Stegostoma tigrinum: one gene and its partners. The protein of the gene in region 4 interacts with the protein of the main gene of each other region in a pairwise test. Links are inferred from orthologs where the notes say so. Each region holds a gene or a part of one and is shown on either strand. Other genes may lie near its edges.

Region 1 (7,581 bases), on a different chromosome or scaffold from region 4:
CATCCACAGTTAGATTGTTAATTATGTGAGTCTGCCTCAGTTTTGAAATTTTCATCCACATGTTAATATCCTCCGTGTCCTTGGCCCGATCTCTGTTACTGTGTCTACGTAGGAACATAAGAATATGGGACCAGGAACAGGCCATTCAGCCCTTCAAACCTGTTCCACTATTCAGTGGTCTTCAGCTGCTACTGCCAGACCCCGTTATTACTTTCACAGGGAGTTGGCACGGTATTGGTTACTGTAACATCCAGATGCCCTGCCAATTTGATAGCCGTAGGACATTAGATACACCTGGACTGCGAATTGATGATTTAGTTAACAGTCCTTGCTGTGCCCTTTCATTGTTTTTCATGCATGCATCATTCAAAATGTCTGCTTGGTTTTCCCCTTTTTAGGAAATTAGTCCTGACTGCAGCTGCTGAGAGTATCTTAAACTGCTGCCAGACTCTGCATTTTCCATTAATTCTGAGTGTTCCATGTTCAATAGGCTGACCCCATTCTCACTTAACATCCAATCACATGTGCACTCTATTCCAAAAGAGCACCAGGAATCAACACCCTTCCCAAGTATCCTCAAGAATATTTGACCCTCAATAGCATCACCAATACAGGTTGACTAGCTGCTGTCACACTTGCAGGATCTTGCTGTGTGGTTCCGCATTCCCTGCGTTAGTTCACCATCTACTTGATTGTCTGGACAAACTAAGGGACAGCCTGAAATCATAAAAAGATATGCAAGTCAGCCTTCATTTCTTTACAGCAGGGGTTACTGGATAGTGACCAGGAGTAGGAACGCCAGGCAATTTTTTTTTAACCCAGGGAATGCAACCCAGGGACAAGAACAAAGTTGCTGAAAAAGCTCAGCACGTCTGGCAGCATCTGTGAAGGAAAAAAAACAGAGTAAGCATTTTACATCCGGTGACACTTCCTCAGAACTGGAACACAGGGACTGAGATCAGTAAATTGGGATTAAATTGGGAATACATGGAAAGGGAGGATTTGCTGAAGACCTGAAGCAAGTAGTTTAGATGTATATCCCCACACTTCACCTTTGGTAAGGAAAACTAGACAGTTCCTGTGGTTTTTCCAATGAATATACATAATGACTCACTGCCATCCGTGGATCTGGTTAACACTTTTTAAGCTCAGAGTACCTGCTCTAACACATTCTGTCAAACACACCCTACTGCTGAAATCTGACAGTCAGAGAAATTGAACTGTTAGTGTGTTTTCTTTCAGTGTGATGCAATCCATAGTGTGTGAGTTGTTTCTTGCACTGGCTGTGGTTGCAAGCTAGAATTTATGGCAATGATGTCATTTTGATGGGACGCTAAACTGATGGCCACATCTTTACTCTCATGTGGATTAAAACAGCACCATTTTATAACAGCATCATCTTCAATATTTATCCCTCAATCACATTCATTATGAGTAGGTTATCAGATTATAATCTGATTATAATCACGCCTCTGTTTCTCTGAGCTTGGATGCTGCATTTCCTCAATGACAGCAATGATGGGTCTGGGTGGGATGTGCTGAGAGTCGGTGTGGACCTTTTGGGCCAAAGGGTCTGTAGGGAGTCCCATACTGTAGGGAGTCTAAATCCAAGTGCTTGTCCTCTCCTTTGTACAGCCCGTTGTATCTCAGCAGGTGTTGCTATTATACCCAACTTTGATGTATCTGGCAGTCACGTGCTTTGTTTGACACTATAATTGACTCCCGGTTAAGAAATTTCTGACGATACTCCTTCCTATGGTCTCTGTCATTTTTTGAGAATATTCCTGTATTGAACTCAGAAGAGGAAGGGACTGTTTGTTTTTGATCCCTGCATGGACTTGGTGGCTTAGAGGAAGCTACACTTCCAGTAGAGGAAGAATAATAAGGTGTGTGGCATGGCCAACACTCCTGCAGGGTTCTATGATTCTATATAGCTAGCATTTTATAACTGTAATCATGAACTTTTAGTCAAACTCTTAGATATATTTGCAAAAATCTGGGAAGAGGTTGTTCTTCTGAAATGCCATCACTGTTTCACATTTTAAGAATCATAAATTAGTCTGTGGGAAGTTTAGAGGTACATTCCTTGTGACCATTGTGGAGAAGATTGTCACACGAGTCCTGCAGAATGACCTCTTACCTCACAGCAAAGACATTCTTCCAGAGATGGGCTGTGGTTTCTGACCATCTAGTGGAACCATAGGTCTGATCTTTGTCATTGAGTAAATTCAAGAAAAGTGTCTAAAATGAAGCAAACAGTGCTACACGGCTATAAATGATCTATCAAAGGTCTTTGACTCCACCAGCTGCCAAGCCCCTATGGAAAGGCTTCTGAAGACATGAATGTTCAGAGAAGAATTATTACTCTTCGGTGATTTTTGCATGAAAGTACAACAGTAACTGTCCTTTGCATTGGATTGATGCTGAAGTTTTTTTCGTTTCCAGTCAGACATCAAATACTGCTATGCTAATGTGTTAATTCTAATCACTATCTCCCCCAGATAGAGCTGGATGAACACAGCAGGCCAAGCAGCACCAGAGGAGCAGGAAGGCTGACGGTTCGGGCCTAGACCCTTCTTCAGAAAACCCATTCCCTCCAGCCTGGTGATGGAAATCATTTCTGACCAGTGTTTGCTGGGATCATAGCTGACTTCTTGAATTAATGAGAAACTTTTCAACAACAACTGGCTGTGTGTTAAGTCTAAGGTGACCCTCCAGCACATCCATGGCCTACAACATGCCAATGAGTACACAATGTGGCCTACTCTGTAAAGAGCATTCACGCCACCCTCATCCTCTTCAACTCTGTCACAATATGATTGGTCTCTTACTCAACCTGAGCAAGATTAAAATCTTTCATCATCACTCTCCTGCACAAGAACCTATATCTCCAACCTCTGTTCTGAAAGGGAGATTTTAGAAATCATTGAACACTACATATCTGAGTACCTGCCTTTGGTAGAACATTGCTGCCATAATTAAACTTCAGCACCGTATCAACTGTGCCAGTGTAGCTTTCCAGATATTGTGCATCAGGTCTTCAGCAAAACCCATCCCTATACAAAGACAAAGGCTTTAGCCAACAATACTGTTGTCACAATCACTGTTGCCAAATGGCAGTGGGACAAAGGCATCCCATCAAAGACACTACCAGGTGCTGGAGAATTTTCCAACTGTTGAGTCTCTGCAAGATTCTCAGAGTCAAGTGAGAAGTCAGGCATTCCTCACTGAAGCCAATTCTTTTCTGATGTAGGGTCTAGGCCCGAAACATCAGCTTTTGTGCTCCTAAGATGCTGCTTGGCCTGCTGTGTTCATCCAGCCCCACACTTTGTTATCTCCATCAGCATTGTCATCTGGACACTCCTCCATGTGTCAAATAATCCATCACAATGCAGATTCTCTTCTCACAATTTAAAGATGAGACTCAATCTCAAGGACAAAGAAGATATTCAAAGAACACAGCAGCACAGTGGTTCAGTGGTTAGCAGTGCTGTCTCAGAGCACCAGGGACTCAGGTTCAATTCCAACCTCAGGCGACTGTGTGGAGTTTACACGTTCTGTGTCTGTGTGGGTTTCTGCTGAGTGCTCCGATTTCCTCCCACTGTTTAAGATTGTGCAGGTTAGGTGGATTGGCCATGTTAAATTACCCATATTGTCCAGAGATGTGCAGGCTGGGATTAGGCTAGGGTAGGAGGGTGAGTCTGGGTGGGAAGCTCTTTGGAGAGTTGGTGTTGACTTGTTGGGCTGAATGGCCTGTTTCCACACTGTGTAGGGATTCTATGGATACTCTGAAGACCAGGTTGGAATAGGACAAATTGACATTGATGAATGAGAGGTTCTTTCCATAAAAGTCTGCACCTTGTGCCAGCTCCTGAAAAAAAACTGCAACCCAAATTCTGACAGCATTAACCACCTGCAGTGACCCAACAAAACAGGTGTGAAATAGACCGAGCCCTGGTTTGAGAACCCCACCTTCTCCAGGGCTGCTTGTGGTGAAAGAGCTGTGGCTCAGTGAATGGCCTGCTGAGATCCAAAAAGCCAGACAGCTGACAGGTGCCATCTTTGTCTAAAGAAGCTGATCATTGACCAGTTCTGTGAGCTGATCAATGGTTGCATTTCTTATTGATCGTTGAACTGATTTGTGAGCTGATCAATGACTGGAATTTTTATTGATTATTGACTGGTTTTCTCAGGTTGTTTATTGATCCGGTTTATTACTGATATTCCGGGACTGATTATTAACTGAGTTTGTGAGCTGATCATTGTCTGGGCTCCTAATTAATTACTCGCAGTGTTTCTTATTGGTTTGAAAACCGAAAGAGCTGCGGATGCTGTAAATCAGAATCAAAAACAGAAAAGCTCAGCAGGTCTGGTAACATCCGTGGGGAGATATTAGAGTTTACACCTCCAGTGGAGTAACCCTTCCTCAGAAAGACTTGAGCTTTTCCAGTGATTACTGTTACAATTTCTGATGTTTCCTCTCGGGGTGACTATTGGTCGGGATTGTCCTCCGGGCACCAGGTGGCGGTGTTTGTGGATCCCCGCAATGAGCACAGGCCTCGGCGCAGGCTCACAGCGGCTTGGCCGGTCCCTGTCTCCCCAGGGACCCAAGGCCGGGAATAACCCGCCGCTCGGGTTGATCTCAGCGCAGTTTTAAGCCGGATCATTCCTTCCGTTGAGGCCATTTGTCCCAACGCCCCCGAGTCAGCCCCACAGTAGGTGCCCCCAAACTCAGTCCCTCGAAAGATAAAGGGGCGGGGGGGATGAGGGGAGGAGAGAGGGTACGGGGTGGGAGGAAGGGGGGGTAGGGGTGGGGGGGGAGAGAACGGGGGGGGGTAGGGGTGGGGGGGGAGAGAACGGGGGGGGGTAGGGGTGGGGGGGGAGAGAACGGGGGGGGGTAGGGGTGGGGGGGGAGAGAACGGGGGGGGGTAGGGGTGGGGGGGGAGAGAACGGGGGGGGGTAGGGGTGGGGGGGGAGAGAACGGGGGGGGAGAGAACGGGGGGGGGTAGGGGTGGGGGGGGAGAGAACGGGGGGGGTAGGGGTGGGGGGGGAGAGAACGGGGGGGGTAGGGGTGGGGGGGGAGAGAACGGGGGGGGGGTAGGGGTGGGGGGGGAGAGAACGGGGGGGGGGTAGGGGTGGGGGGGGAGAGAACGGGGGGGGGTAGGGGGGGGAGAGAACGGGGGGGGGTAGGGGGGGGAGAGAACGGGGGGGGGGTAGGGGGGGGAGAGAACGGGGGGGGGGGTAGGGGTGGGGGGGGGGTAGGGGGGGGGAGAGAACGGGGGGGGGGTAGGGGGGGGAGAGAACGGGGGGGGGTAGGGGTGGGGGGGGGGTAGGGGGGGGAGAGAACGGGGGGGGGGTAGGGGTGGGGGGGGGGGAGAGAACGGGGGGGTGGTAGGGGTGGGGGGGGGAGAGAACGGGGGGGTGGTAGGGGTGGGGGGGGGGAGAGAACGGGGGGGTGGTAGGGGTGGGGGGGGGGGTGGTAGGGGTGGGGGGGGGAGAGAACGGGGGGGTGGTAGGGGTGGGGGGGGAGAGAACGGGGGGGGTGGTAGGGGTGGGGGGGGAGAGAACGGGGGGGGTAGGGGTGGGGGGGGGAGAGAACGGGGGGGTGGTAGGGGTGGGGGGGGGAGAGAACGGGGGGGGTGGTAGGGGTGGGGGGGGAGAGAACGGGGGGGGTAGGGGTGGGGGGGGGAGAGAATGGGGGGGGGAGAGAGAACGGGGGGGTAGGGGTGGGGGGGGGAGAGAATGGGGGGGGGAGAGAACGGGGGGGAGGGGGAGAGAGAACGGGGGGGGAGGGGGGGAGAGAACGGGGGGGGAGGGGGGGAGAGAACGGGGGGGGGAGGGGGGGAGAGAACGGGGGGGGGAGAACGGGGGGGGGGGAGAACGGGGGGGGGGGGGGAGAGAACGGGGGGGGAAGGGGGGGGGAGAACGGGGGGGGAAGGGGGGGGGAGAACGGGGGGGGGAGGGGAACGGGGGGGTAGGGGTGGGGGGGGGAGAGAACGGGGGGGGTAGGGGTGGGGGGGGAGAGAACGGGGGGGGTAGGGGTGGGGGGGGAGAGAACGGGGGGGTAGGGGTGGGGGGGGAGAGAACGGGGGGGGTAGGGGTGGGGGGGGGGTAGGGGTGGGGGGGGAGAGAACGGGGGGGGTAGGGGTGGGGGGGGAGAGAACGGGGGGGGGTAGGGGTGGGGGGGGAGAGAACGGGGGGGTAGGGGTGGGGGGTGGGGGGGGAGAGAACGGGGGGGGTAGGGGTGGGGGGTGGGGGGGGAGAGAACGGGGGGGGTAGGGGTGGGGGGGGAGAGAACGGGGGGGGTAGGGGTGGGGGGGGAGAGAACGGGGGGGTGAGAACGGGGGGGGTAGGGGTGGGGGGGGAGAACGGGGGGGGAGAACGGGGGGGGTAGGGGTGGGGGGGGGAGAACGGGGGGGGTAGGGGTGGGGGGGGAGAACGGGGGGGTAGGGGTGGGGGGGGGAGAGAACGGGGGGTAGGGGTGGGGGGGTAGGGGGAGAGAACGGGGGGGGTAGGGGTGGGGGGGGGAGATAACTGGGGGGAGAGAACGGGGGGGGGGAGAGAACGGGGGGGGGGGAGAGAACGGGGGGGGAGAGAACGGGGGGGGGAGAGAACGGGGGGGTAGGGGTGGGGGGGGTAGGGGGAGAGAATGGGGGGGTAGGGGGAGAGAATGGGGGGGTAGGGGTGGGGGGGTAGGGGGAGAGAATGGGGGGGTAGGGGTGGGGGGGGTAGGGGGAGAGAATGGGGGGGTAGGGGGAGAGAACGGGGGGGTAGGGGTGGGGGGGGAGATAACTGGGGGGAGAGAATGGGGGGGGAGAGAATGGGGGGGGAGAGAACGGGGGGGTAGGGGTGGGGGGGGAGATAACTGGGGGGAGAGAATGGGGGGGGGAGAGAACGGGGGGGGAGAGAACGGGGGGGAGAGAATGGGGGGGTAGGGGTGGGGGGGGTAGGGGGAGAGAACGGGGGGGTAGGGGTGGGGGGGGAGATAACTGGGGGGAGAGAATGGGGGGGGAGAGAACGGGGGGGTAGGGGTGGGGGGGCAGAGAACGGGGGGGCAGGGGTTGGGGGGGGAGAGAACGGGTGGGCAGGGGTTGGGGGGGGAGAGAACGGGGGGGCAGGGGTGGGGGGGGAGAGAACGGGGGGCAGGGGTGGGGGGGAGAGAACGGGGGGGTAGGGGTAGGGGGGGAGAGAACGGGGGGGAGAGAATGGGGGGGGAGAGAACGGGGGGGGAGAGAACGGGGGGGTAGGGGTAGGGGTGGGGGGGGGAGAGAACGGGGGGGTAGGGGTAGGGGTGGGGGGGTAGGGGTAGGGGTGGGGGGGGGGAGAGAACGGGGGGGTAGGGGTAGGGGTGGGGGGGTAGGGGTAGGGGTGGGGGGGGAGAGAACGGGGGGGGTAGGGGTGGGGGGGGGAGAGAACGGGGGGTAGGGGGGGAGGGGTGGGGGGGGAGAGAACGGGGGGGGGTAGGGGGGGGTAGGGGTGTGGGGGGAGAGAACGGGGGGGTAGGGGTGGGGGGGAGAGAAAGGGGGGGTAGGGGTGGGGGGGAAGAGAAAGGGGGGGTAGGGGTGGGGGGGGAGAGAACGG
Region 2 (7,006 bases), on a different chromosome or scaffold from region 4:
ACCAGCCACAAAGAGGCATGACCAATTCTCACTGGTCTCAATACACAAGGACAAAGAAGGACACAAATTCAACTGGGACAACACATCCATAATAGCACGAGCTGAACAGAGACATACCAGGGAATTCCTGGAAGCCTGGTATTCCAAGCAGAACTCCATCAACAAACACATTGAACTGGCCCCAATATACAAACTACTGAAAAACAGAACCTGAAGTAAAGCCAACCATTCCAGCAAACCGAGGCATATAAATAACAAGAGGGACAGAATACCAACACTTTACCGGAGGCACACTTACGATGTTACCTAGCAAAACGTCTGCAACCAAACACACCAGCTCGACAGGCAAGTCTACAACCTGACTCCAATGGTTCCCAACCAGGTTTGTTGAATAACCAAAGCCAGAGACCAAGTTCATTGCTTAAACAAAAGAGGTAACAGTTTATTATTAATATAGTAGCTTTAGCTGAGCAAAGTTGAACAAGATAATTTAAATATGTCCATGATTTAAACTCAATCTTCTTTGATTGTTAGCCCCAACACATATAGACAGACAGACACAGTTTAGGGATAAATTAAAAGGAAAATTAAAGAGATGTAACTGTCCAGTTCATTTAAGCAGTTTCAATGATACATAGCATCGCAGGTACTTGGGATTGTATCTTGCTTGATTTCTGATGACATCAGTCAATGTAAATAGCCTCTAGTAGTTTTAAGAAATATTCACTTAATTCTTATAACTTTCAATGAGTTGGTAATGGGTGGACAACTAGAAAGCAACCAAATCTCCATCCTGTAAATTGGCTTGAAGGTAAGAGAAAGAGGGAGGTGGTGGAGGGTTGTTTTTCTGTCTGGCTGTCTGTGACCAGCAGTGTGCTGCAAGGAGCAGCGTTGGGTTCACTGCTTTTCATCATTTATATCAACAATTTGGATGTGAATATAGGAGGAATGGTTAGTAAGTTTGCAGATGGCACTGTGGTGTAGTGGACAGTGAAGGAGATTATCTCAGAGTAGAGCAGGACCTGATCAGATGGATCAAGGAGTGGCGGATGGAGTTTAATTTAGATAAATGTGAAGTTTTGCATATTGGTTAGGGCAGGACTTAGACACTTAATTGTAAGGTCCTGGACAGTGTTGCTGAACAAAGAGACCTTGGGGTGCAGGTTCATAGCTTGTTGAAAGTGGAGTCTCAGGTCGATAGGGTAGTGAAAAAGCATTTAGTACAGTTGCCTTTATTGGTCAGTGCATTGAGTGTAGGAGTTGGAAGGTCACGTTGCAGCTGTACAGGACATTGGTTAGGCCACTTTTGGAATAATGCCTTCAGTTCTGGTCTCCCTGCTCTAGGAAAGATGGTATTAAACTTGAAAGGGTTCAGAAAAGATTTGGATGTTGCCAGGTTTGGACAGTTTGAGCTATAGGGAGGGGCTGAATAGGCTGGGGCTAATTTCCCTAGAGAGTCGGAGGCTGAGGGGTGACCTTATAGAGGTTTATAAAATCATGAGGGGTATGGATAGGATGAATAGCAAAAGTCTTTTCCAAGGGTAGGTGAGTTCAAAATTAGAGGGCATAGGTTAAAGATAAGCGGGGAAAGATTTAAAAGGCAACGTTTTCATGTGGAGGGTATGGATTGAGCTACCAAGGAAATGGTGGAGGCTGGTACAATTACAACTTTTAAAAGGTATCTGGATGGGTACATGAATAGGAAGGGTTTAGTGGGATTTGGGCCAAAAATGCTGGCAAATGGGACTAGAGTAATTTGGGATGTCTGGTCAGCATGAATGAATTGAAGTGAACAGTCTATGTCCGTGCTGTGTAACTCAATTACTCCACAAGTTGCACAGATTCAAATCCTCTGACAAAAAAACAGTTCAAACTTTGTTTGCAGAAGATACGCAATTGACTTTAATTGTTCTATTCCCAAACTGCTCATGATTTCCTGGAAAACGTTGACATAATCCCCGAACCCTGATCAGACTATATATCAACTGGTGGCCTCTAACTAGTAAACTGTGTTATTATTTCCACTGCTACCCTTGTTGTAATTGTCCTCAAAGGAATAGTCTCTGGCTTTCCTTACACTATACCTTGCTGGAGTCAACTCCGATCGTCACTTACAAGCATAAGACTACTCTTCAATAAGCTAGAAACACACCTGTGTGTTATTCCCCAACCACCAAACCCCCACTGCAAACTCCAGTCTTTCTCAGGGTATAAAGCAAATGCTGTTTATGGGATTTTCAACTCCTATGTTCTGAGCTGCAACAAAGTATTCATGTTGACAGGCTTCTTCCCAGCACCTCACAGCTTCCTCCAAAAACAGAGCCAATAACCTTCCCACTTTCTCAGCTCCCCAGGATGTCTTATGGACCTTGATTATGATAGTCAACTCGTCTCAACGTCTTCCCTGCAGAACAGCTAGAATTCTGCACTTAAAACATGGAGTCTGCTCTTAGTTCTGTTCTTCTTAAATGTCCCAGGAACTATCTAGAATGACCTACTAAAAGCCTTGCAAAAAGCACTGTGTTTCTCTATCGCTGGACAGAATTGAATTTTACCTTCTAACTACTGTTGGATCAGTATTCCACATATGTTACATTCTCTCAGAATGTAGGAAGTGGATTTCACCAGAGGTTCCATGCCAAATCACAAACAGTTCCCTTCCCCCTCCCCCATTTCTGAATGCGGGACCTTACCCAAATCATCAAATTTCCTGCTCCTCTGATGCTACCTGGCCTGCTGTGTTCCTCCAGCTCCACACTGTGTCATCTCTGACTCCAGCATCGACTGTTCTTACTATCTCTGACTGAGTTAATTCGGGATCACATTGGATAACTGGATCATTAATGGGTACCTCTTGATCATCATGGAGCACACATTGCTCCTTTACAAATTCTTAATGGATCGTTAGAGCACTGACGTAGGTTCACACACAGGATCAGTGGAGTCATACACTGGACCATTGGGAATCGCATACTGGATCGCCGAGGCCATACACTGGGTCACGGTGGCTCAGTGGTTAGCACTGCAGTTGCATAGCACCAGGGACCCGGGTTCGATTCCAGCCTCGGGTAACTGTCTGTGTGGAGTTTGCACATTCTCCCTGTATCTGCGTGGGTTTCCTCCAGGTGCTCCAGTTTCCTCCCACAGTCCAAAGACGTGTGGGCTAGGTGGTTCGGCCATGCTAAATTGTCCGTAGTGTTCAGAGGTGTGTGTGTTATAGGGGGATGGGGATGGGGTTGGGTCTGGGTCTGGGTGGGATGCTCCAAGGGGTGGTGTGGACTTGTTGGGCCGAAGGGCCTGTTTCCACACTGTAGGGAATCTAATCATATATTGGATTGCAAGAGGTCACACACTGGAGCATGGGTGGACATGCTGGTACACAGGGGGCTACACACACACTTACTGGGCCATTGGTGGAGAGTGGTGTCACACACTGGATGACTTGGGGAAGATGGCGGGGGGCGGGGGGAGCTGTTGCACATTGGATCACAGACTGGACCATGGCAGGGTTGAGCAATCGCACTCTAGTCGTGGAGGTGGCGGTCAGACACTGAATCGCTGGGGTTGTCACAATGGATGTGGGGGGGGGGCATCACACTGGATCACTCTGAGGGATTCACTGGGGAGGGTACACTGGATCACTGTGAGGGGGGCATTGGGGAGGGTCACACTGGAGGGAAGTGCCTGACACTGAGTCACAGACTGGACCATGGCGGGGGGGTGGTGGTCAGACACTGGAACCATGGCGGGGGGTGGGGGCGGTTAGTGGTCAGACACTGGAACCATTGCGGGGTTCGTGATCAGACACTGGATGTCTCACACTGGGTCGCATCTGAATTCAGCGCCAATTTTCAGATCATCGATGCCCCGCCTCCTTGCTCTGGTCCTGACCAATAGGGTACTGGTGTGCGGGGTGGCAGCGAATCAGCCAATCAGTGTGGAGCGGTGCCGGTATGCCCCGGATTTGAAGCCAGTATTCCCTGGAAGTGGTTCCGCGCGCGATCGGGGGATAGTGCTGTCATGGTGGATGTGTTGAGGCGTTTGTTGTTCCGGTACCGGGAGTACGTTATTAGGAATCCGGGGGCAGCCGCTCAGCTGGAGGGCTCGGTGCGGAGCGTGTCCTACATCATTGCCGGTCAGAAATACCCTTCATATACCTCCCCATCAATACCTGTCCTGAGAGCTCGGTGAGGAGCGGGTCACATATATCCTCCATGTAACCAGGAGTAACTCCCCTCTCCCATAAACACAGCTCTGAATGCCCTTCATATACGTCCCACAGCCAACTATCAGTCGTTTCATATACCACCTTCCTCCGTCGAATACCCCTCATATCACCAATACTCCTTTGTCTACCCCAGTATAAAATCTTCTGCATACGCCTCCCTCCTGCATATACTCACTGAACACGTCCCTCATACAATTCTGAGGAAGGGTCATCCAACCCGAAGCGTTAACTCTGATTTTTGTTCTTCGCAAAAGACCTGCTGAGCCTTTCCCGCAACTTCAGTTATCGACCCTGATGTACAGCATCGGCATTTAGAACATAGAACATTACAGCACAGTACAGGCCCTTCGGCCCTCAATGTTGTGCCGACCTGTCATTACCGATTTTAAACCCATCTAGATTAGATTAGATTCCCTACAGTGCCGAATGAATGAATGCATGATAGTAAATAGAACCACAGACAATCAAAACTGTTGGGAACTCAGACTTTTATTGAACAAACATAAGATGCCTTTTTCTAACTTTAAAATTCTAACCTTGAAAGTAACAAGACTAATACCTTCTGAATTATGCAAGATCACTCCAATCTCATTAAAATAGCCATTAACAGTCAAAAATAACCAGTAACATTTAGCACATGTTTAAACCATCTCTGATTTCCTGCAAAACAGTTTTTGTACAAGTGTTAAAATGTTAATGTATGCTTGAATTCTGTATGAAATGGCTGCTTTTGAGCTATTTCGGGGAATTCTATTTCATAGAACAATACAGCACAGTACAGGCCCTTCGGCCCTCTGTTGTGCCGACCAGTCATACCGATCTCAAGCCCATCTAACCTACACTATTCCATGTACGTCCATGTGCTTGTCCAATGACGACTTAAATGTACCTAAAGTTGGCGAATTTACTACCGTTGCAGGCAAAGCGTTCCATTCCCGTACTATTCTGAGTAAAGAAACTACCTCTGACATCTGTCCTATATCTTTCACTCCTCAATTTTAAAGCTATGCCCCCTCGTGCTCGCCGTCACCATCCTAGGAAAAAGGCTCTCCCTATCCACCCTATCTAACCCTCTGATTATTTTATATGTTTCAATTAAGTCACCTCCCAACCTCTTTCTCCCTAATGAAAACAGCCTGAAGTCCCTCAGCCTTTCCTCATCAGACCTTCCCTCCATACCAGGCAACATACCAGGCATCTCCTCTGCACCCTTTCCAAAGCTTCCACATCCTTCTTATAATGCGGTGACCAGAACTGTACACAATACTCCAAGTGCGGCCGCACCAGAGTTTTGTACAGCTGCAGCATAACCTCTTGGTTCCGGAACTCGATCCCTCTATTAATAAAAGCTAAAACACTGTATGCCTTCTTAACAGCCCTGTCAACCTGGGTGGCAACTTTCAAGGATCTGTGTACGTGGACACCGAGATCTCTCTGCTCATCTACACTACCAAGAATCTTTGCCTTCCGGTTACTCCTACCAAAGTGCATCACCTCACACTTGTCCGCATTAAACTCCATTTGCCACCTCTCAGCCCAGCTCTGCAGCTTATCTATGTCTCTCTGCAACCCACAGCATCCTTCGTCACTATCCACAACTCCACCGACCTTAGTGTCGTCTGCAAATTTACTAACCCATCCTTCTATGCCCCCATCCAGGTCATTTATAAAAATGACAAACAGCAGTGGACCCAACACCGACCCTTGCTGTACACCACTGGTAACTGGTCTCCAGGATGAACATTTCCCATCAACTACCACCCTCTGTCTTCTTTCAGCAAGCCAATTTCCAATCCAAACTGCTATATCTCCCACAATCTCATTCCTCCTCATTTTGTACAATAGCCTATTGTGGGGAACCTTATCGAACGCCTTGCTGAAATCCATATACACCACCTCAACCGGTTTACTCTCATCTACCTGTTTGGTCACCTTCTCAAAGAACTGAATAAGGTTTATGAGGCACGACCTTCCTTTCACAAAACCGTGCTGACTATCCCTAATCAATTTATTCTTTTCTAGATGATTATAAATCCTATTCCTTATAACGTTTTCCAACACTTTACCAACAACTGAGGTAAGGCTCACTGGTCTATAATTACCAGGGTTGTCTATACTCCCTTTCTACTTGATGTGCAGTCATTTCCCCCGTATCCATGAGAACTGTTCTTCCTAAGCCCGCCCCAATAATGAAACCTGTGAGCCCTTTTTTTAAATGGAGTGTGGGTGTTGCTGGCTAGACCAGCATTTATTGCCCATCCCTAATTGCCCCAGGGGACAGTTGAGTGTCAACCAAACTGCTGTGGGCCTGGAGTCACATGTCGGCCACACCAGGAATGGGTGGCAGTTCCATCCCTAAAGAATGTTAGTGAACAAGATGGGTTTTTGCACCAATTGTCAATGGACTCTTAATTTCACATTTTTTTTCAATCAAGTTTAAATTCCACCATCTGCTATGGCAGGCTTCGAACGCAGATCCACAGAACATTACCTGGGTCCCTGGATTAACAATCCAGTGATAATATTACGAGGCCATTGCCTCAGTCTCAAAGCAAAGTTTGTTTAAAAATTTTTGACTCTTGCTGTTGCTTATTTTATTGTGTAGGTGAATTTGTGATTTTGTGGATATAGAGGATTTGCTGTATCCCCTTCAATGTCTTCCTATACCTTTTTGGTTGCTTGTTAGCTCTGTGCGGAGTTTGTCATCAGGAGCTAGATGTACCCTTCGTATACACCCCCATACATTCCGCACCACACGATATCCACTCTGCCCCTTGA
Region 3 (7,618 bases), on a different chromosome or scaffold from region 4:
CAATTTGTCCATGCCAACTAAATTAATCTAGTCCCATTTGCCGGCATATGGCCCACATCCCTCTAAACTTTTCCTATTCATGTATCCTCCCAGATGCCTTTTAAATGTTGCAATTGTACCAACCTCCACCACTTCCTCTAGTAGCTTATTCCATACACACACCACCCCCTGCATGAAGTTGTCCCTTAGGTCCCTTTTAAATTTTTCCTCTCTCACCTTAAACCTATGCCCCTGTAGTTTTGGACTTCCCTACTCCTGGGAAAAAGGCCATGGTTATTCACCCTATCCACACCCATAATGATGTTCTAACCCCTTACCCTCAGCCTCCAGAACAACAACCCCAGCCTAATCAGCCTCTCTCCATAGCCTAAAACCTCCAATCCCGGCAACATCTTTCCTATGGGATAGAGACCAGAACTAAATGCAGTATTCCAAAAGTGGCCTAAAATCAATGTCCTGTATAGCCAAAAGAGAAGTGATCTTATCGAAACATATATGATTCCTTGACAGAATAAATTGCTGAGGAAATGAGAATTTCCCATGGGATAGCCTAGGAGCAGCAGGCACATTTTCAGAATAAAGGGGTGGCAATTTAAGACGGCGATGAGAAGGAATTTCTGAGCGGGTTGAGTGCATGGAATGCCTTGCCTTAGAGAGGTGTGGAGGCACAGTCCTTGTGAATATTTAGGCAGAGATGGATACATCCTCGAGAATGAGGGGAGTCGACAGTTATGGGGAAAGTAGACGTGAGGGATGTCGGACCAGCCATGCAGCTTTCTCTCAGGGCTGAATGGCCGACTCCTGTTCCTGAAATAAGAACAGAAATTGACAGAGGAACTCTGCAGGTCTGGCAGCACCTATGGAAAGCAGAATTATTGCTTCTAGTCCAGTCACCCTTAAGGATGGACAGAAACTGGGAAAAGACAATACTCAGGCTGATGAAGGGTTGGGAAGAGGGTGAATGAGTGGATACAGAGTCCAGAGAGAAAGAAAATTAGGCCTCTCCATAGGTTGTTAATAAGCCAGAGGAGGAGTAAAGCTGATGACTGAGATAATAAGTTGGTGAATATAGGTCAGCAGTGCAGAAATCAACTCCTGTCAAAACAGCGCCTGGGCTGTGGGGGATGGGGAAGGTCCTGGAACGAGCTGCTTAGGCCCTAAAACGATTAAGCTTGATATGCAGTCCTGAAAGATCTTCAAGCAACAGATCAGATGCTGCTCCTTCAGCTTGCACTAAGCCTCCCCAGCAACGTCGACACAGGAGACGTCTTCAGAGATAGAAGAAGGGTCTAGGCCCGAAATGTCAGCTTTCCTGCTCCTATGATGCTGCTTGGCCTGGTGTATTCTTCCAGCTCTACACCTCGTTATCACAGAAATATTGCCGTGGGAAACACAGTGGCTACTGAAAGCCAACTTATAGGCAAACAGTGCCTCAGGGTTTACTTGTAGAGTCATAAACTCATACAACACAGAAACAGATCCTTCAGCCCAAGCCGATCATTACACCAAACTAAACTAGACCCCACCTGGCTCTGCTTGGCCCACATCCTCCAAACATTTCTTATTCATGTACCTATCTAAATGACTTTTAAATGTTGTAACAATGCCTGCATTCACCATAAACCATTGTGTCAAAATTTTCCCCCTTGTCTTTTTAAACTCTTTCTCTTCTCACCTTAAAAATATGCCCACAGTTCTGAAATCCCCTATCCTAACGAAAAGACACCTGTCGTCATTCACCTTACCTGTCCCCCCAATGAGTTCACAAATCTATATAAATAAGGTAACTTCTCAACCTCCTATGCTCTAGTCAAAAAAGAAGCCTAAGCCTATCCAGCCTACTTTATAACAACACCCCCCACACAGCTGTTCCTGGCAACGTCTTGGTAAATCCTTTCTGGGCCCTCTCCAGCTTACTAATGCTGTTCACATAACAGGGTGACCAGAGCTAGACACAGTACTCTAGAAAAGGCCTCACCAACATCCTGTAGAATCTCGACATAATGTCCCAACTCCTAAACTCAAAGATCTGAGCAACAAAGGCAAGCATGCTAAATACCTTCTTAACCATCCTATCTGTACCTTCTGTTCCCTTTTCCTACGGATATAGCTACAAGCAGGGGGATGAGGGCAGGTTTTTGAGGGAACAATACAGCATAGAGGTATACAGCACAGACACAGACTCTTTGGTCCAACTCATCCAAGCCGACCAGATATCTTATATGAGTCTCACTCCATTTGCCAGTATTTGGCCCATATCCCTCTAAACCCTTCCTATTCACATACCCATCCAGGTGCCTTTGAAATGTTGTAATCGTACCAGCCTCCACCACTTCCACTGGCAGCTCATTCCATACATGCACCACCCTCTGCATGAAAAAGTTTCCCCTTAGATCCCTTTTACATCTTTCCCCTCTCACCGGTGACCTATGCCCTCTCATTCTGGACTCCCCTACCCTGGGGAAAAGACCTTGGTTGTTCACTCTATCAGCACCCCTTATGATTTTTAAAAACCTTTATAAGGGCACCCCTCAGCCTCTGATGCTCCAGAGAAAATAGGCCGTGCCTATTCAGCCTCTCTCTACAGATCAAACCCTGGCAACATCCGTGCAAATCTTTTTTGAACCCTTTCTAGTTTCACAACATCCTTCCTATAGGAGGGAAACCAGAATTGTGCGCAATAGTCAGCAGAGTTTCAAGGCTGAGAAAGATAGGTCTTCGATCAGGGTGCAGGGGCAAAGGGGAAAGGGCAGTAATGTGGACATGAGGAGTGTCCAGCTATAATCCTACTGATTGGTGGAGCAGACTCAAGGAGGCAAAGGGCCAACTCTTGCTCCTCTGCCTTATGGTCTTCTTCACAACTGGACTCTTGAGACTCCAAACCTTAACTCGACGGTGCTGCCAGGCTTGCTGAGCTTCCCCAGCAACCTCTGTTTCTGTCTCAGACCGTACAGCATCCGCAAGTCTTAGTTCTGTGGAAGTCTGGTGGACAGAGCTGCAAATGGGCAAGTTGTTGTTGTAGTAACTGTGCGCACTCACGCAAACTCGACAGGGGATCGGGGCGTGCGCGGGAGGATTGAACGACAGTTGCTGGTGCCAATAGACAGCGCGGAGGTCGAAGGGTCCAACCAATCGGAGCGGCCAAGGGCGTGGCTACCGCGGCCGCCATCACAGTTGGTTGTGAAGGATGAAGAGGCGGCGGCGGCGAAAAACCTTAGTTGCAACCGGTATCTAGTCGAGTGGAGCTCTGCCTCTATTTACCTGAAGATACGCTCCCTTCCCTGGCTCTGCGCTGTGAAGCGTACCCAAGAATCCATAATGCTCACAAAAAGATAGATAGAGATCTACTTTTATGTTTTGTTTCGGGGCCGCCTCAGCTGCGCGGGGTATAAAATATGGCCGCCAGTGGTGGCGGCTCTCAGTCACGTGCCATTGAATCGGCCAATCAGGCGCTACCTCTCCCCCTGACGTCAAGGGGCCACGCCCTCTTACCAGTATCACGTGACTTCTCACCGAAGTGCCATTCAGCCCATCAAGTCTGAGGAGCGCTTACGTTCCACCACGTGGCTTATCCGTTTGATCATAAGGAACAGAAGTTGGTTGCTCAGCCCCTTCAATGGGCTTGTGGCTTATTCCACTTTGCTGCCCTCTTCCCCCTTGAAGGAGCCAGTGGTGAAAACAAAAATTGCTGGAAATCACAACAGGTCAGGTAGCATCCGTGGAGAGGGAGCAAGCTAACGTTTCGAGTCTAGATGACTCTTCACCAGAGCTGGCTCAGTGGTGTACACACTTGATTATTTAAACACAGATTTGATTAGGGTTCTGGGCACAGTGGTTAGCACTTCTGCCTCGCAGTGCCGGGGGCCTGGGTTCTGTTCCACCCTCAGGCAACTGTCTGTGTGGAGTTTGCACATTCTCCCTGTGTCTGCGTGGGTTTTCTCCGGGTGCTCCGGTTTCCTCCCACAGTCCAAAGATGTGCATGCTAGGTGGCTTCGCTGTGCTCAATTGCCCGTAGAGTTCAGGAATGTATAGATTAGTTGGGTTGTAGGGGAATGGCTTTGGATGGGTGTTCTGAGGGTTGGTGTGGACTTGTTGGGCCAAAGGGCCTGTTTTCACATTGTAGGAATTCTGTGATCTGTGACCTAATTTTGAATCCCGCTGTGGCAAATGGTAGAGATTGAATTCAATGAAAATCTGTAATTAGGAGTCCCATGGTGATCATGAAGGGATTGACTGAATGTGCTTTAGGGAAGGAAACAGGTCTTTGCCTATTCTCGGCAACATGTGACTCCAAAACCACAGCAATGTGATTGACTCTTAACTGCCCTCTGGGCAATTAGGGATGGAGAATAATTACTGGCCTTGCCAGCAATGCCTGCATCCCACAAATGAAATTTAAAAACCCTTGATTTCCCCTACTGACCAAGAATGCATCTATCTCAGCCTTAAACATATAGAAGAACGCTGGTCCCTCCCCAAGATCTCTGTGGCAAGGAGTTCCAGAAACACTTAACCACCTGAGAAAAGAAATTCCTCCTCTTCTTAGTTTTAATTTGGTACAACTTTATTCTGAGACTATGCTGTCTGGTCCTAGACTCTCCCATGAGACCAAACATTCAGCGTTTACCTTATCAAATCCTTCAGGAATCCTGTATGTTTCAATGAGATTTGATTTGATTTGGTTTGGTTTATTATTGTCACATACTGAGATACAGTGAAAAACATTGTTTTGTGTGCTAAGGTCAGGATAATAGAACAGAATGCGGAGTATAGTGTTATAGTTGCAGAGAAGGATCAACTCTAATATTAGAGAGGTCCATTATGAAAACAGCAGGAAAGAAGCTGTTCTTGAACGTACTGGTATGTGTTATCAAACTTTTGTACCTTCTATTCAATGGAAGAGAATATGACTGGGGTGAGAGGGTCTTTGATTATGTTGGATGTTTCCACGAGGTAATGGGAAGTATAGATGGAATCAATGGGCTAGGCACACCTTTGGACTGTGGGAGGAAACCGGAGCACCCGGAGAAAACCCACGCAGACACGGGGAGAATGTGCAAACTCCACACAGACAGTTGCCCGAGGGTGGAACAGAACCCAGGCCCCCGGCACTGCGAGGCAGAAGTGCTAACCACTGTGCCCAGAACCCTAATCAAATCTGTGTTTAAATAATCAAGTGTGTACACCACTGAGCCAGCTCTGGTGAAGAGTCTTCTAGACTCGAAACGTTAGCTTGCTCCCTCTCCACGGATGCTACCTGACCTGCTGTGATTTCCAGCAATTTTTGTTTTCACCACTGGCTCCTTCAAGGGGGAAGAGGGCAGCAAAGTGGAATAAGCCACAAGCCCATTGTTGGAATTATGGTGTTGAAGGCAGAGCTTACTGACAATTAATAGAAGCCTGATGTAAGTGTCTTTGTAATCCAGATGTTCCAAAGATGGGTGGAGGGCCAGAGAGATGGCATTTGCCTTGGACCTGTAGTGACAGCAGGCGAATTGTAGTGGATCTGGGCAATCTGGGAGGCTAGAGTTGATGTGTGTCATGACTCACCTCTCAAAGCACTTGATAACGATGGATGTCAGAAACGCTGGGTAGTAATCATTAAGGCACGTTGCCTGATTTTCATTCGGCCCTGGTGGGAGTAGGAGAGCTTAAAGATGTCTGCAAATACTCCTGCCAGGATTTAAGTGCACGGCCGGGGCCTCCATCTGGGCGAGATACTTTCTGTGGACGGCAGTGACTGTGAATACGGGTGCCCCAAGGCTGTCTGGGCAGGAGCCATCATTTCATGGACCTACTGCTCAAACCGAGTCTATAATGCAAAGAACTCATTGGGTAGGGATCTGTTGTTGTCAGCGATCCTATTCGGCTTTGCTTTGTAGCCCGTTATGTTAGGTAAGCATTGCTGTAGTCGATGTGTGTGTGTCGTTATTCTGGCACTCAAGTCCAGTATTGTCTCTTGGCATCTCTGATGGTTTTGTGACGGTCATACCCTGATTTTCTGTGTAGGCCAGGGTCACTCAGCTTGAATGCCTCAGATCTGGACTTCAGTGAGGGCTGGATCTTCCGGTTCATCCACGGTTTCTGTTTGGGGAACGCTCGGATTGACTTCTTTGGCACTCAGTGCTTTACACACTTCCTGATGAAATCTGTGATGGTCAGTGGCATTTCCATTTAGTTTGGCTGCTGACTTCCTGAATGTGTAGCCAGTCCACTGACACCTAGCGGTCACGCAGGAGCTCATCTGTTACCTCAGACCAGCACTATCTGACTTTGTGGCAGTGTATATTTCATCGAGTGTGCTCTTTGTGTCTGCACGAAGTGGGATGTAAAATGCTGTCAGGGCAATAAGGCAGGCAGTTGGGGCAGTACTTCACCGTTAGATATTCGAGGGCCGTGGAGTAGTAACTCATCAGGGTCGTTGCGTCTGAACACCGAGAGGGTGTTGATCAGGAGGCGGACCTTTTGCCTTACCCAAGGACCCTGCGAATCAGATTGAGAAATCCTCAGGTTGTAAGAGTGAAGCAAGAGTGGGGCATGTCCCTTTAAAACGGAGCACGCGGCAGACTGTCAATTCCCTTTGGTAGGTGAGTCCGGCTTTAAGTTCATTCGGTTTGTTTTCAGTGGTGTAGACATTAGCCAGGAGTGTGTCAGGTAGGGGCCGCTTGAAGCCGAATAAAAACCTGCGGATGCTGAAAATCAGAAACGAAAACTGCACTGTTTCTGTGGGCCAGTGCATCTCCCATGTTTCCTGGGTAAGGAGCTGCTTCTGGTCGAGTTGGTGTGGATTGTTTGTTGTTTGGAATCTGATTTGGTCCTGGGCACTGGTGGCTGCTTCAGGCACTCGGGGAGGGGAGGGGGGTGCATCTTGTTCTGGGTTTGGTTCGGCCTTGGTGTTGGGTCTCCATGAGGTTGGGTCGGGTGTCGAGTCCACGTTGGTCCACTCGACAGAGTCACCAATCAACGTCCAGGTCGAATTGTCAAGAAATCGGTAAGTGGATGGTCACTTTGTTGTAATGGTTGCGGTTCCAGAATCTGCATTCGGGCCCCGTTGGTGCTTCATGACATCCTGGTCTTCATCAGGTCAGATTCAGTCGGGCCATTGGTTGTTTTCGGAGGTCAAAAGGTTGCCAGACCTGTAAGTAGATTTAAGAGAACGTAGAACGTTACAGTGCAGTACAGGCCCTTCGGCCCTCGATGTTGCGAGTCTTGGCGAGTCTACTACTGTTGCAGACATTGCTAGTAATCTGGCAGAATTACAGTGGAGATTTGAAAGAGTAGAACAATTCTAAAAGATGCGAGGAGATGATCTGCTGAGGTCAGCTTGCAAAGAGTTGCCATGCTCCAGTGCCATCCCCTCTATTTCTTCTAAACTCCGATGAGCAGAGTTCCCAACCAGTTTAGCCTTTGCTCATAAGACAATCCCTCCATATTGGGGATCATTATACTGAACCTTCTCTGAACTGAGTCCAATGAAATAATATCTTTTCTTATATAAAGGGACCAAAACTGCTCATAGTACTCCAAGATATGGTCTCATCAGTAGTTTGTCCAGTTGCAGTAAGATTTCCCTACTCTTATACTCCAACTCCCTTGAAATAAGGGCCAACATTCCTTT
Region 4 (7,026 bases):
ACAGGGACAGCTTCCTCTACACTGTCCCCCGCCTCCTCCGTCAGACACTCCAAGGGACACGGACAGCTCCCTCTACACGATTTCCCCCCGCCCCCGTCAAACACTCCCAGGGACAGGGACAGCTCCCTCTACACCGTCGCCCCCGCATCAAACACTCCCAGGGACAGCAACAGCTCCCTCTACACTGTCCCCACGCCCCCCCCCGCCCCCCACTTCGTCAAACACTCCCAAGGACACGGACAGCTCGCTCTACACCGTCCCCCCCGTCAAACACTCCTAGGTACACAGACAGCACGGGGTTAGATACAGAGTAAAGCTTCCTCTACACTGTCTCCCCATCAAACTCTCCCAGGGACAGGGACAGCACAGGGTTAGATACATTCTGAAGATGCCTCTACACTGTCCCCTATCAAACACTCCCGGGACAGGGACAGCACAGGGTTAGATTCGGAGTATCTGCACTTTGTGTTAAGATCAATGCGGCACTCACTTTGGAGCCTTTTCCATCTGGTTTCTCAGCTTCCACTTTTGCTTGGGGATGTGGAGTAGGTTTCGTTTTGTCAAAATCATCAAGGGCACCTTACAGAAGATATACAGCGTTAGAGATAACAGGAACAGCAGCATTACCAATGGTATCTTACCCCTGCCTCGCCTTGTTCTCTGTCCACACTCCCACTCGTAACCGCATTCTCTTCTACTCCGAGCCCGATATTACTCCTACCTGCACTGTCACACATTCCAGCCACCAAACAGTGCCTCTCACCTCCTAGCTGTATCTGCCGTCTCCATGTATAATCAAACATTGCTGACCTATCCTCGAAATGACCATTCTTCCATTGACAAAATCTCAAAGCATCAAACCTAACTAATTAAAACACATCTCAATGGAGAGACTCAGCAGGTCTGGAAGCATCTGCGAAGACAAACATTTCGCAAAATGTTCTGAACTCTGCTTTTCTCCTCTTTGAGTTTCTGCAGTTATTTCTGCTTTCATTTCAGGTTTCGAGCAACCAAAGCTCTTTATCTTATCTTACCCAGCTAGACTCCCATCGATCCCATCAAACCGAGCCCCCACCGACTAACCCATTGGCCACTCCTCACCGACCAACACCCCAATGGCTGTTCCACACGGCCCACTGACCAATCCTCACTGAACAACAGCCCACTGACTAACACCTACAGGCCATTTCCCTTGACCAAGACCCTATCAACTCATCTTATTCACCAATACACAGTGAGCCAATCCTCATTGATGAACACTACATTCAACAATCCCATTGACCAATCCTCTAGCAAACACCAAGTGGCCAATTTTCATTGGCCAATCCTCAACAACAAACCCAACAATAACCAATCACATTGAGCAACTTGCCAGCTACCAATGCTTATTGAACAACACTCCACTGGCTACTCCGATTGACCAAGACTCCACTGACCAAAGCCCCAGTGGACAAATGTCACTGACTGGGACCACATTGGACTAATCCCTACTGACCAATTCTAACCGGCGAAAACCACATTGACCAAGTAGCCAGTGAACCAATCCACACAGAGTAATCTGCAATAAGCGACACGCTACTACACAAACACTCAGTGATCATTTCTCACTGATCAGCACCAAGCAGCCAAGAGCCCTTGGCCAAACCTCACTGACCAATCTGACTGACCAACTTGCCAATGAACCAATCCCTATTGGTCAATTCTCACAGACTAAGATCCCATTGAACCAATCCGTAATAGTCAGCGATCACGGACTAAGGTCCCAATGAACTCATCCCTATTGGTCAGTGCTCTTGGAATCAGATCCCAATGAACCAATCCCTATTGATCAGTGCCTACGGACTAAGGTCCCAATTAACCAATCCCTATTGTTCAGCGCTCACGGACTAAGGTGCGAATGAACCAATCCCTATTGGTCAGCGCTCACGGACTAAGATCCCAATGAACCAATCCCTATTGGTCAGTGCTCACGGACAAAGGTCCCAATGAACCAATCCCTACTGGTCAGCGCTCACGGACTAAGATCCCAATGAACCAATCTCTATTGGTCAGGGCTCACGGACTAAGGTCCTAATGAGCCAATCCCTATTGGTCAGTGCTCACTGACTAAGATCCCAATGAACCAATCCCGATTGGTCAGCGCTGGACGAAGATCCCAATGAACAAATCTCTATTGGTCAGGGCTCACGGACTAAAGGTCCCAATGAAACAATCCCTATTGGTCAGGGCTCACTGACAAAGTTCCCAGTGAACCAATCCCTATTGGTCAGTGCTCACTGACTAAGATCCCAATGAACCAATCTCTAATGGTTAGTGCTCACGGACTACGGTCCCAATGAACCAATCTCTAATGGTCAGTGCTCACGGACTAAGGTCCCAATGAAACAATCCCTATTGGTCAGGGCTCACGGACTCAGGTCCCAATGAACCAATCCCTATTGATCAGCGCCTACGGACTAAGGTCCCAATTAACCAATCCCTATTGTTCAGCGCTCACGGACTAAGGTGCGAATGAACCAATCCCTATTGATCAGCGCCTACGGACTAAGGTCCCAATTAACCAATCCCTATTGGTCAGGGCTCATGGACTAAGATCCCAATGAACCAAACCTCTACTGGTCAGCGCCTACGGACTAAGGTCCCAATGAACCAATCCCTATTGGTCAGCGCCTACAGACTAAGGTCCCAACGAACCAATCCCTATTGGTCAGGGCTCACTGACTATGGTCCCAATGAACCAATCCCTATTGGTCAGGGCTCACTGACTACCAGCCATTAACCAAAACCCTCTCGGCCATTCTAGCCTTTGACCTCTACCCTCTGACCGTTGCGGCGGGTTGAGACTTATTCAATGTTTGCAGAGTCTCCTCCTCAGTGTCAGCATCATCCTCTCACTTTCCAACAACTCCTGGAGCTCCTCATCCTCCTCTCCACCTCCACCTCCTCCTCCTGCCGCCGCCATCTTCCCCGTCACCAGCCACTGACGTCACCGCGCCGGCACCGCTTCCGTTCCAGCCGCGGCCTTCACTTCCGCCGGGTCCCACACCGCCCAGCGGGCGCCGCCATCTTGTCCCGGAAGAGCGTTGAAGAGTGTCAATACCGGACATCCGGTTGCCTCTTAAAGGCACACGCACCAAGCGCCACTCACCCGGAAGTGGGCCCTTTACCATTCAGAGAGTCATGTTTTGTGCATTTCTTCATCGTGTTTATGTTAAAATTTATTTAGTGCTTAAACTTCATGAATAGAATCAATATGTAGGTCATCGACATAGATTCCAAAGTAGTTCTAGATTCACCTACAGGATTCTTTTGTGCATTTCCATCATTGAGATAAATATATGATCGGCTAAAAGAGTACTCTCTGTACAATGTTGTGTTTTGCATCCTCCCTTCAGCAATGAGCATAAAGTAAATAAAATAGCCCTAAGAATAAGCCTTAGAAACTATCAAAGATTTTCATCCATTAGAATAAGAAACAGGAGTAGACCATTCAGCCCCTTCAGCCTGCTCCACCATTCAATAGGATGATGGCTGTTCCAACATTCTTCACGTCCACTTTCCTGACCTTTCACTGTAATCGTCCATTCCTGGACTGATCAAGAATATATCTACCTCAACCTGAAATATACACAAGAACTCTCCCCCCGCCCCACCCCACACACACCTTTCTATGGCATGGAGTTCCAAAGACACACAACCCTCTGAGACAGGAAATCCCTCCTCCTCTCCGTCTTAAATTGGTGACCCTTTATTCTGAGACTGTGCCCTCTGGCCCGAGATTCCCAACAGGGGAAACATCCTCGCTCAGCATTTACCCTGTCAAACCCCGTAAGAATCCTGTATATTACTAATCGGGATATATCACAAGAACATCAATTCAAGCAGAATACATGCATGTGCACTTGACACAAAAAGTAGCAGCTCAGAGGACAGTGTAGAATTAGCTCTAAGTTCCAAAATGATTTAGATAGGTCAGTGAAGTGGGCAGAAATGTGGCAGATGGAATTCAACTCTGATAAGTGTGGAGTAATGCATTGACATGATAAATGGGATTATGCTGAAATGGGTGGATGAAGTGAGAGATCTTGGCATTGTCAGGGATGCACATGACTGAGCAGCACAAAATGGCCAATGGCTGCCCAGGGCTAATGCAGCAAAATATGACTGACAGTAGTTAGAGAGCTCAGGAAAATATTCGCTTAATGTAGCTGCAGAAGTTAGAACAACAGCAGCTCTGTGGAATTGCTATAGAATATGCAGCTACAGTTGTTTACACATAAGACATAGATAAGAATATTTCACACTACTATTAATTTGTGAATCTCTCTTTAATTATTTCATCAACCTGTTACAAAACTAATAGTAGGTTTTATTCGGGATCCTTCGAATAATCATAGATATTGATTCCAACGTAGTTATAGATTCACCTACATAGTAAAAAAAATCACAGAGAGCTGGAGAGGAGGTAAATCATGAGAGCAAACCAGTCTCTGACAGTAAAAGCAACTCCCATATTATGACAGCGAGAAATGAATCATCGGTTACAGAAATGAGCAGAGATTGGAATGTGGGTTAAATGAACACTTTGTTAGACAGCCCTGTTTGAAGACAGAGAGTGGGGTGGGGGGATTTCACTTAAACATGCTAAGATAGAAACTGCTCATTAGCTAAAGAATTCTAACATTAGCGGTAATCACATAACTTTGTTCAAATTGAAACTATAACTCTTTGGTTCTTCCCGTAATGATGATTGTAAGGAATTTGAAAGGTCCTGGCATGATAGGTAAGTATCCAATTATTTGGCAGTTACCAGACTGTAGTTGGCAAACGATTGGGAGAGAATAGACCTGAATACAGTGAAAAGCCTGAAGAAGGGAAATAAGACAGTGTTATGGACCCGAGCAGACTCTCTCAAAATATTTTAAAATATCCTACACCCTAACATTTTCTGAATTAAAGAGTAAAGGTGAAGTGCCGAGATGGGACGCGCCTGGTCAAATTACTCGATATTAAGCAAAACACAATTGATTTAAACACTACGGTTAAAATACAAACAAAAGAAAGAGGAATTTAGAGTAAATTAACCTTTGGAAAGCTTAACTGAATAACAGGTACAGTAGCCGATACTCATTCACTGCTCCCATTTAGTAACACCCAATTAACACACCCCATGGCAAAAAGGCAAATTTAGGCACAGATTTTCACATGCAGTTCTCCAATCCAGGAGGCTAAAAAAAAGAGAAAATTCAGAGAGAACAGCAGTCAGAAAACATTCACTAAAGCTCTTATTAGACCCTGAAGGCTTCTAATAATAGCAAAAGCAGGAAAATCTGGATCAGTGACAACTGGCCAAACCCATTCAGCCTCCATTCTTCCAACTTGTAAAACAAAACACAAGGCCTTCCAAGCTGTTTACCTACAGTATCCAGTTCAGCATCTCTGCCTCACAATGACTCTTCCAAATAAAAGGGCCAAGGTAACTTTTAGAAGTGACAGCATTGTCACAAGATCCTGGGAGACATTCTGAAACTGTGGAGGATGAGGAGTTGACCCGAAATCCATCTCTGGCTGTACAGTCATACAATTAGCTTATTTGGAAACGCACGTCATTAATTAATAGTATGATATGTTTGCAATTGCGAAGACAGGATGAAACAAATGTATAAAAATGTATAGAGGTGTAGAGCTTGATGAACACAACAGGTCAAGCAGCGTCTTCGGAGCAGGAAAACTGACATTTCAGGCCTAGACCCTGAGGGGTCTAGGCCTGAAACGTCAGTTTTCCTGCTCCGAAGACGCTGCTTGGCCTGTTGTGTTCATCCAGCTGTACACTTTGTTATCTCGGATTCTCCAGCATCTGTAGTTCCCATTATCTCTTATAAAAATGCATGTTTTCCTTTGTTTGGTGAAGTGCTCTGTTACATCTTGTATTTTCCAATGAGGATCTGACTTGTGTGTAACTGCCAGGTAATCTTTATTGCGGCTTTATTTTCAGTATTGCTTCTTATTCCAGTGCCACAAGGCCCATAAAAAATTCACAATGTCATAAATTACACTGTTTAAGCTCAAACCCTGCCCCCATCCCGGTTTGGTTACTATTGGTCAGTGGTACTAGGTTATCCCTTTGTAATCGGCTCTCAGGTACAGCAGGTTATGCAGTTAGCCTCAGCAATTTACCTACTGTGGTGTACACCGTGGAACTGTTGATGGTCCATAACCTGAAGGAAGTGCTGCCTCATTCACCCATGTGAACATCTTTCCAACTGACCCAATCACGTCACTGAAAGACTGGTATATGACCCACCTGTGGTGCAAGATAATGTCTGGCTTAGAAGGGGTGGACGCTGGGAAGTTGTTTCCGTTAGGCGGGGAGACTAGGACCCGTGGGCACAGCCTTAAAATTAGAGGGGGTAAATTTAAAACGGAAATAAGGAGATATTTCTTCAGCCAGAGAGTGGTGGGCCTGTGGAATTCATTGCCGCAGAGTGCAGTGGAGGCCGGGACGTTAAATGCCTTCAAGGCGGAGATTGATAAATTCTTGATCTCACAAGGAATCAAGGGCTACAGGGAGAGTGCAGGGAAGTGGAGTTGAAATGCCCATTATCCATGATTTAAATGGTGGAGTGGGCTTGATGGGCCGAATGGCCTTACTTCCACTCCTATGTCTTATGGTCTTATGGATGGTGTTTCCCAGACTCTCTTATCTCCCTGTAAGGTGATGGGGGCTGCTTTTACTAAGTCAGACTGCGTCTAGATCTCTAAAAGCTTTTAGTTTTTTTTTCATCAGTGCATCTGTAACTACTTCAGAGCCTCTATCTATGATTATCGGAAGGATCTTAATTAAAACCTACTCTTACTATTCTAACAGATTGACAAAATAATTCGAGAGGGATCGTGTGAAATGTTCTCTTTTGCATAAATGACTGCAGCTGCAGATTCCATCTCAGTTTGGTAACCTTGAGTCTACAGACATGCTATTGTTCTACTTGTGAAGACTACATTAGGCAAATAGTTTCCCAAGCTCTT

What was found.
Region 1: the proteins of pex19 (region 4) and pex10 interact in a two-hybrid assay, tested with the Homo sapiens proteins (4 studies listed by BioGRID and IntAct, with this or other methods). The link is inferred for Stegostoma tigrinum from reciprocal best matches to the Homo sapiens genes PEX19 and PEX10.
Region 2: the proteins of pex19 (region 4) and pex16 interact in binary tests that used the Homo sapiens proteins (3 or more experiments, as listed by UniProt). The link is inferred for Stegostoma tigrinum from reciprocal best matches to the Homo sapiens genes PEX19 and PEX16.
Region 3: the proteins of pex19 (region 4) and pex11b interact in binary tests that used the Homo sapiens proteins (3 or more experiments, as listed by UniProt). The link is inferred for Stegostoma tigrinum from reciprocal best matches to the Homo sapiens genes PEX19 and PEX11B.

What each region holds. Positions count from the first base shown.
Region 1 is NC_081381.1:23,731,576-23,739,156, reverse strand, and holds the start of pex10 (peroxisome biogenesis factor 10), read left to right. Parts: upstream 1-4,564; 5' UTR 4,565-4,715; intron 4,716-7,581.
Region 2 is NC_081370.1:12,839,671-12,846,676, reverse strand, and holds the start of pex16 (peroxisomal biogenesis factor 16), read left to right. Parts: upstream 1-3,994; 5' UTR 3,995-4,020; coding exon 4,021-4,135; intron 4,136-7,006. UniProt on the Homo sapiens protein: Required for peroxisome membrane biogenesis. May play a role in early stages of peroxisome assembly. Can recruit other peroxisomal proteins, such as PEX3 and PMP34, to de novo peroxisomes derived from the endoplasmic reticulum (ER).
Region 3 is NC_081400.1:3,328,412-3,336,029, forward strand, and holds the start of pex11b (peroxisomal membrane protein 11B), read right to left. Parts: upstream 3,022-7,618; 5' UTR 2,958-3,021; coding exon 2,884-2,957; intron 1-2,883. UniProt on the Homo sapiens protein: Involved in peroxisomal proliferation. May regulate peroxisome division by recruiting the dynamin-related GTPase DNM1L to the peroxisomal membrane. Promotes membrane protrusion and elongation on the peroxisomal surface.
Region 4 is NC_081399.1:11,295,643-11,302,668, reverse strand, and holds the start of pex19 (peroxisomal biogenesis factor 19), read right to left. Parts: upstream 3,010-7,026; 5' UTR 2,963-3,009; coding exon 2,896-2,962; intron 580-2,895; coding exon 491-579; intron 1-490. UniProt on the Homo sapiens protein: Necessary for early peroxisomal biogenesis. Acts both as a cytosolic chaperone and as an import receptor for peroxisomal membrane proteins (PMPs).